2 linked regions of the Caenorhabditis elegans genome follow. The protein of the gene in region 1 binds, or shares a complex with, the protein of each later gene. Each region holds a gene or a part of one and is shown on either strand. Other genes may lie near its edges. A codon is read from its position in the direction of its gene.

Region 1 (5,187 bases):
ACTCACAAAGTGCCGCTTCCTCACGAAAAAATGCGCGAACGTCTCTGTCGATTAATCATTGCTGAATAAACTTTGTTTGGGTTGTCTTGTACGGACACACTTTCAGGCGGTAGATCATATCCTCAAAGAAAGCGTGAATTGTAGATGCCAGGTTTTTGATGAACAAATAAAAATTTATGAATTCCTTCGGATGGGGTCTTTGATGAACATAAATTAAAAGGGAGAAGCATGCTGAAATGAAAGTTACCATTTTTACAAAATTGCTTCAAAATTAGAACTGGATGTATTATTTAAACAAGCTTCCGGTGTTTGAAGAATTATTCATATTATTTAAATTTTAAATTAACTAGTTCAGGTTTTTTAATCCTTTTATATAATTGTCAGAAACTGTCAGGTTGCCCCACGTTCCAAATTTGACTCAAGGAAGGTAAAAAGACACTTGAATCTGGTACTAGAGTCGTTTTTGTGCCTATGTGAAAGACTATTCTTGGAGCTCTTCTTTCAAACATTTCGTGCATTTCTGCCAGAATTGTTCTGAATTCTGAAATCATTATGTACAAACATCTTTATCAAAATATTATCTTCATGTGATACGAAGCATGTCAAACTTATCTCCTGTAAAACGTTATCCAACTGTAGTCCAAACCATTTACCTACAATACAGTAACCAATTTCTTCAGACTAAACGCTTTCTAATGGTTTGCTCATTGATCGTCTCTCATTTGAATTGATATCCTGTTCAATTCAGATTCAAAATCTCATTAATCTCATGTCCGGATGATGTGGCAGATAAGCGAGGAAATGTTTCAATTGCGCAAGGACAAATCAACGATAAACTCATGTGTGAGTGTGCGAATTGAACGAAGAAATTGGTTTGGCAATCGTAGAAATTCACACTAACTGTCTATTAATTACCTGTCAAAAGTGTCTGGTTTCTCTCACGTTTTGTGTACTTTCTCGTAGATAAACCGTTTAGAGATTTGAAACATTCATTCACACTCCTAAAACTAACCAATGGACATTAAAAAATAAAGTTGCGATTTGGGAAAAAGGGATTTGCTTTTGGAAACTACAAAAATATTGCTCCGTGACATGATCCAAAAATATATAAATTGGAATGCTCCACGTAGTTTTTAAATATTAATGATAAACCTTATTTTTAATTTCAGCATTAATTTCAGAGATTGGCAAAAGGTGAGAGGCATTATTAAAAATAGCCTTCAAATGTTATTAGGTTTTCACAAAAGTAAACCATGTTGTTTCTAGATTTCGAAATTCATAAGATCTCGTTTGTTTCAAATCTACTATTCACGAAAACATAACGTATGTTGCAGACCATTCCCAGAAGGAAAAAACTATGAAAAAGAAAATATGTTTTTCTTTCGATTGTTTCCGAAATAAAATCCATTTTCAATCTAAGTTCCTGTTATAAATCATGTAGACATTGACGTTGAAATAGCAAAATGCTTGCACATCGTTTTCTTATCATTTCTCTTCTCGAAGCATTCTAACTATAAATTTATTTGTTTTTCAGTGTCAATGTCGTTATATTAAAAAAAAAATCATGGGACATTTTGTAAAAACTTTTTCAAAATAATAAATGTTCTCATCGAATCTATACTATAGTTATCAACTGTTCTCAATCGGTAGAGTGCTCGGGCTCCCGATCGATTTCACAAAAATGGTTTGGTCCGCAAACACGACGACGGACATTGCGTATTTGTCGTCATTTTCCCTCTTCACGTGCTGTGTTCAGTTCAATTCGGGTTTTTATTTGCCGTCAGACCACTTTTTTTCGTGACTCATACTAAAAAATGCAGAAATAGAGCAATTTATCCTGCTATACAGATTTTTTATATTTTCTAGTTGAAATCCTCGACTATTGAATTAATTTGTTGACTTCGTACTGTACTTGTCGCATTTCTTTTTATAAGAAAAATTAATAAAATATATTAATTTAGTTTCAAAATGGCGGAATTGGTTCGTCCAAAAAAGCCAAAACATCGAGAGCGAGCACAAAGTGATTATACACCCCCAATACCAGATCGTCCTGCAATTGTGAATGGTTTGAGACTCCCTGCGGTAATAACAATACCACTAAACTTTTTGTTTCATATTGATTTTATTTTCAGGCTCCATCACATACTATTGAGGATTTACCAGAAAGATCAGCATCACCGGAACCTGAAGATCAGTAAGTGGTAAAATAACGATTGAACTGAAAAATATGTATACGTTTCCAGGGATATAAGCTTGACCGAAGATTCCTTGAAACGCGAAGAAGCATCTGAACCTTTAAAAGATGTGAGAAGTAGTCCAGTTCGACCAGCCCCTCCACCACCAGTCAGTTGAAATTCTAAAACTCAAAATATGAATCATTTGTTTTCAGCGTGTTTCTCAAGAAAGAGAAGCTCCACCAATTCCTCCAAGAAGTATGATCTTTCCACGAAGTACCAGCATGGTTGCTGAATCTAGAAAAGAATCAACTACAGCGGTAGCACCAAAACGGAGTGTAGCAGTTGCTTCATATCCAGCTGTCCCCGAACTAGCCGAACTTCCATCCTATACTGATGCGCTTCAACATCCGCAAGTGTATCCTTCAATAAATGGAGGACTTCAGCATTCACACTCAGCTACTGCCATTCCAGTAAGTATTTAATCTGAAACCTTATTATTTTTCTTTATTTTTGTAGGAAAAAACACGATTTTCTGCACCAGTTGAGAGAGAGCGTGTACGAGAGGGAGAAGCTCCTCCGATGTATCCATCTATCAAAACTTACGAACGGAATGAACATGGTTTAATGACTGAAGAAAACTTGGTCACATTCTACCATAATCCCCTTTATGAGCACGCCGAAATGTTTGTTGATCAGTTTATTAAAACTGAGGAAGTACCAACTCAATCTGGATCTTTATTTCCACTCTTAGCTAGACTAAGAACAGTATGTGACCTAATGACTGTTAGTGAAGTGAAAGGAAAAGAGAATACAGAAGAATTGCAAAAATGTTTACGAGAATGTTGGGTTCAACAATCTCTTTCTGTTGATGCAAAAGGAAAATGTGGAGACAACAATGATGGTACAGGTAGAGCATCGTATTTTTCTTTTGAACTGCAACAGGCAGTACTGGATCAAATGAAGAAACTTCTCTCTACGAATCGAAGCAATCTGATGGATCATTCAGTTTGTGAAGAGACTTCGTTTAGATCAATTGCTCTACAAATTCAATGGCAGGTTATTATTATCAATAATAATTTCATGGCTGAAAACGGGTTGTCTACAAATTGTCCACCCAGTTGTGAGTTTATTATTTCAACAGCTTACTAGTTGAATATGAATGTATTTCAGTAATTGCCAGTGTACCTATGACACCGGGTAGAGTTGCTCTTCGCACTGCTCTTTCAGACATATTCTATCATCTTCGGTATCCAAGACTTTCAAAAAGATTTATAGATACACTTGTTGGATGGATCAAAGAATTGGTAAATCATTTCAAGTTCGTAATGTAACGTTTATGTAAAAAAATGTTTCAGACATGTGTGTTGAATATGCGTCAATCATGCGACGACGGTATATTCCTCCTTTGCCACCTTTTACGTCTTCCATCTCCAATTGATCAATGGGCTTCTCCATTTGTACAAACCTTCATTCAATCACAATCTGCTCCAAAGTTGAAGCTTGATTATTGTGTTGCACTTCTCACTCATCTCCTCAACCCAATCAAAGCTCGAGAATCTTTCCTTCGCCATGTTGCTCAATCTGAAAAAGAGGAGTCAACTTGGGAGATTCTTGCAGATGACGATGACGGTGAAGCAAATGAGTTTTCATTTGTCACAATCAACGAATCAGATCTAACTGCATTCCTTGATCAATTTCCGATTTCTGAGCTTTATTCAATTGCTTATCTTGCTTTCACTTCATGTAAGTTTCAAGTTGCAATTGTAAACTTAGACCGTTCAAATTTTCAAATTTTCAGACTCTGACAAAGGATCTCAATTTACTGCTATGATTGCATTCCAGCTCTTGCTCATGAAAGTAAGTATAGTAATATCTAAATTTATGATAGAAACATTGAATTTTTAAGATTCTTGATAATGGTTTGACAAGTTATTCTCAACCCGGATATAAAATGTTCTGTAAGCAAATTGGAATAAGTCTCAAGTGAGTTTGTTATCCTTTGGCTCCTAGATAATGTGTTTTCTTTCAGGCACAGCGTTCGGGAACTTTGCTCCAATTGGCGACTTATTCGAGATCAAGTTCGACCAGGCGAAGAGCATCATCTTCAGAAAGAAGTAGATCGAGTTGTACTTCTAGCTCTAAATTACTTGATTCATCAAGACACCCTTGGATTGTTCCAATTTGTGGTGTCGTTACCATATGCTGTGGTTTCCGAAGAATGTAGAAGCCGATGTGAATATGCTTTAAGATCGAATAAGAAAATGTCTATTCACGAGATTTATGATACACCAATTTGTGAAGTACGCGCCAGGATTAGTAGTCGTCAGTTTCTTTAGAGTAAACCAAAATAATAAACATATTAATTTCAGAAGGAATTTCAAAACGAATAGGTGCGCTTGGAGCTCAGGATTCAGAATTTCTTGTCAACTCATTGGCCTCAATTGGATCTTATTCAAATTCGGATGTTTCGCAACTTTTGAAAGAGCTTATTGATGTGAGATTGAACATTTTTAACTAAAAACTTTACATTTTTGCAGGTTTGCTTTTGTGATGAAGACACTCGAGATGATTTGTATAAATGTGGTGGTGAAGCAATTGGACAAATTCTTATAAAAAGACCTGAAACATTGCATCAATTGCTCACTATTATTGATCGAAATCTTCAGCATATGGATTCCTATGCAATCAATGTTTTATCATCATCACGACTTTTCGAATGTCGATTAACGGAACCAATGATAAGCATCATAGGAAAATGGCTCATTAATAATCCTCCAGAACACGGAGCAAATCGTCTTGCTCGGCGAGTTCTTTCTGGATTGCATTGGGGATTGGCTGTTGATGGTCATAACTTGTGGATTGATGTAGATGTGCACACAATTGCAGCAGATACTGTGGTCAAGGCTCATTCTGTTCATTGTTCACGTTCGAATAGTATGATATCAAAGTCTATAAATAAGATATCAAAACTCGCTTCAAAAGTTGGAGACGCCGAATCGTTGTTCCAGCA
Region 2 (3,154 bases), 260 kb from region 1:
AAGGCGACAGTAAATCGACATTTGATCTCTGTTAAATCAATTAAAAAGGCGGATATCGACGAGTTTTCAAACTTTTTCCTAGGCATATCATAATTTTTTACAACTTTTTTACTTTTATTTTTTCTGACATTTCGATGTTTCGTAGTAGCAAGTTTCCAAATGTTCCATCCTGGGCTACAAGCGAACTTATTCGGCAATTTTTAGATTTTCGTTGTTTACGGTTCAAAGAAAAAAGCGTTTTTCATATTTTTATTGTTTCTCCATGTTAGCTATCATTTTTTATTTATTTATATTTATAGCTTTATTCTGATTATTGTACTTCTGTCCGTGTAAAACATTTCGTCACTATTGACTGTCTATAAATTTTTAACCTTTGGTTTATTGTTTGGTTATTTTTTTAATATTTTTTCTCGGTTTGCTTCCGGCAAATTTTTATCTTGTTCCTTTTTATATTTTTGCCTTTCTGATCGATTACATGGAGTGCACCCTAATGTCTTTAAGATCTTTTAATTGATTTGTTTTATATTGTCAGTTCTAGCGTTTTACCAGCTGGTCTTGAATGCCCTCTTCTAGTTCATTACATTCTACGTCACGGTGACAGCTGTGAATGTGGATGATGCTCTCATTGCTCCAACTCTTTATTTTAGAATTATGTCGCTAATGCACTTTCCACCTACATATTATTGTATGGATATAGTAGTTATATATCGTTTATTTCGTTTAGTTTTAGCATATTATGTTCCTTTAATAGCAAAACATACTCAATACCAACTGTTGTCTAGTTGTTATTCTAACCTTTTATCACTTTTGATCATTTCTAACGTTTAAAATTTCCTATCAAAAGAATCTAAGAACAAACAATCTGTCGATCGGCACCTGAAACCCCGATGATTCTACACCATGCTGCTCTACTTCTCTCAAACCATCCAATGTTTCCCTATACTCTCTTGCTCTCCTCTGCCTGCTGTCTCGTTTCGCCGCCGTATGACACAGTCACATGATGTTGAGTCGTGGTGTCTCGTCGTCTCCGCCCCTCTCTCATCTCTCTCTCTTTCTAGCTAGTGCCATTCGTCTTGGTGTGTTCAGTCTTGCCTCTCGCTCTTCTTTGCGACTTTCTGCCATTTCTTTCACTTTCTGGCGACGTCGGTAGCGACAGTACTTTTTTATTTAAAAGTTTGTAATTTTAGTTGGTTTGTTTAAAAAACCGGTTTCAAATCAAAATCTTTTTTAGATTTGAAATTTGAAATTAAGAAATGTTTCACAAGTTTGACTATTAAATGTACGGTTTAACAATTCTATCTAAAAATATTGCTAAATCATACCAAAATTATTTATTGAACGGTCATATTAATCTAGTTAATAGTTGATTACTAAAGTCTTTCAGAATTCAATTTTTTGGAACAATGCGCTAAGAATATTCGTAGAAACTGGTTATGGATACTAGTGAATATTGGATAAATGTTACTAATATATCGATCGACTTTCAGTCTTCCCAGAATTACAGTTTCCCCGACAACCTCTAAACAGCTGCATTGTACTTGTCCTGTTTCTCTGCATCTCAACAAAACCAGGCCAGACAAACATAGAAAATCAATAGGATGTCTCCTGCGTCTACGCGCTCTCATATGACCGATGTGCGCGCACACTCCCTCTCTCACTTGCACACGGGCCATTCTTGCTCATGCTCTTTTTGCCTTACTAGTACTCGTCGTCAATTTTATATAGATTTCGCAATGTGTTATCGAATCGGTCAATCTCTCAAAACCCATGTGATGTCACCTTCATTCACTCTCACTTGTTACACCTTTCTTCTCTCATGGTTCTTTTATGATTTTTCTGTGATTTAAAGTATTTTTATTCCAGTAACCTTCTCTTCACACTAACCTTCGAATCAAAATGAAGTGGGCTTACAAGGAGGAGAACAACTTTGAGAAGCGTCGTGCCGAAGGAGACAAGATCCGCAGAAAGTACCCAGACCGTATTCCAGTGATTGTTGAGAAAGCACCAAAGTCAAAGCTCCATGACTTGGATAAGAAGAAGTACTTGGTCCCATCCGATCTTACTGTTGGACAGTTCTACTTCCTCATCAGAAAACGCATCCAACTTCGTCCAGAAGATGCTCTGTTCTTCTTTGTCAACAATGTCATTCCACAAACCATGACCACAATGGGACAACTCTACCAGGTAACTAACCAGTCGTTTATTTTCATTTAATTAACCCTTTTCTTTATTACAGGACCATCACGAGGAAGACTTGTTCCTTTACATCGCCTACAGTGACGAAAGTGTGTATGGAGGAGAGGTCGAAAAGAAGGAATAAAGTGTCATGTATTATCCGCCGACGAATGTGTATACTTGTACAATGGAAATTTCATACTTCTAATGGAAACCCAAAGCCCCTTTAAAAAAATCTTCTCATTTTCTGTAATAATTCTGTATTTCCTTCACATTTTCTTCTCATTTTTCTCGTATGACGGTTCCGAGTAGTGACTTCTATTCAAACTATTGTCTACGAAGTTGCTCTTCTCCCCTCCCAGAAAATCATGTTTTCTCTCGGATTTTGATATTTTTTTGCTATTACTTTCAAATTTTTGATTCATGAATAAACGAAGAAGACACAAACAAATTCATGTTCATGCTCATCGTTATTTTCGGCCAGCGAATGGAATACCTCCAACAGTTAGCAATACACATTGCGAAATCACTTTTTCATCTGTATAGAATTGACGTCACATTTGTATTACGTAAACATCATTGTAGATTTCTGAACAAAGTATAGAGAAAAATGAGAATTTTATTTCGAAAATGGTGACACACTTTTGGCAAAAAGGCTCTTTGTATCCATTAGTCATCTGTCAAATGACAGTTTATTCTAGTTGTCATCGTCTGAAAATGTCATAAGAGGGCTCAAACGTTGACTTAGGAATCATTTTTGATTCGATTCTGGCATATTTTATCATTTTCGAGACACAATTTTGGTACTACCCATTTGCAGAAGTTTGAGATTTTCAATGCGAAAATACGGTAGCCGGTCTCGGCACGATGGAAACTTTTCAGCTACCGCACCCAAAAGTGTTTCGCAATTTTCACCTGTATCTGTTGTAATAGTTTCACTTAAAATTCCACATTTTTAAAGGAAAAACCGATACATTTT

What was found.
Region 2: the proteins of epg-5 (region 1) and lgg-1 are in contact, whole or in part, in a crystal structure (PDB 8TGF), measured with the Caenorhabditis elegans proteins. Residues at the interface, in NP_001356411.1 of Caenorhabditis elegans: Ser505 (codon at 3,773), Thr506 (codon at 3,776), Trp507 (codon at 3,779), Glu508 (codon at 3,782), Ile509 (codon at 3,785), Leu510 (codon at 3,788), Ala511 (codon at 3,791), Asp512 (codon at 3,794), Asp513 (codon at 3,797); in NP_495277.1 of Caenorhabditis elegans: Tyr5 (codon at 1,909), Glu17 (codon at 1,945), Ile21 (codon at 1,957), Tyr25 (codon at 1,969), Asp27 (codon at 1,975), Arg28 (codon at 1,978), Pro30 (codon at 1,984), Val31 (codon at 1,987), Ile32 (codon at 1,990), Lys46 (codon at 2,032), Lys48 (codon at 2,038), Tyr49 (codon at 2,041), Leu50 (codon at 2,044), Val51 (codon at 2,047), Pro52 (codon at 2,050), Phe60 (codon at 2,074), Leu63 (codon at 2,083), Arg67 (codon at 2,095), Phe104 (codon at 2,258).

Annotation. Positions count from the first base shown.
Region 1 is NC_003280.10:6,606,138-6,611,324, reverse strand, and holds the start of epg-5 (Ectopic P granules protein 5), read left to right. Parts: upstream 1-1,959; 5' UTR 1,960-1,968; coding exon 1,969-2,082; intron 2,083-2,132; coding exon 2,133-2,194; intron 2,195-2,243; coding exon 2,244-2,343; intron 2,344-2,389; coding exon 2,390-2,647; intron 2,648-2,693; coding exon 2,694-3,297; intron 3,298-3,347; coding exon 3,348-3,481; intron 3,482-3,532; coding exon 3,533-3,920; intron 3,921-3,975; coding exon 3,976-4,034; intron 4,035-4,083; coding exon 4,084-4,160; intron 4,161-4,206; coding exon 4,207-4,499; intron 4,500-4,546; coding exon 4,547-4,671; intron 4,672-4,714; coding exon 4,715-5,187.
Region 2 is NC_003280.10:6,346,429-6,349,582, reverse strand, and holds lgg-1 (Protein lgg-1), read left to right. Parts: upstream 1-1,863; 5' UTR 1,864-1,896; coding exon 1,897-2,184; intron 2,185-2,236; coding exon 2,237-2,320; 3' UTR 2,321-2,623; downstream 2,624-3,154. Other genes in the region: putative RING finger protein C32D5.10, read left to right, coding at 1-13. UniProt on the Caenorhabditis elegans protein: Ubiquitin-like modifier involved in the formation of autophagosomal vacuoles (autophagosomes). When lipidated mediates tethering between adjacent membranes and stimulates membrane fusion during autophagy. Recruits lipidated-lgg-2 to maturing autophagosomes.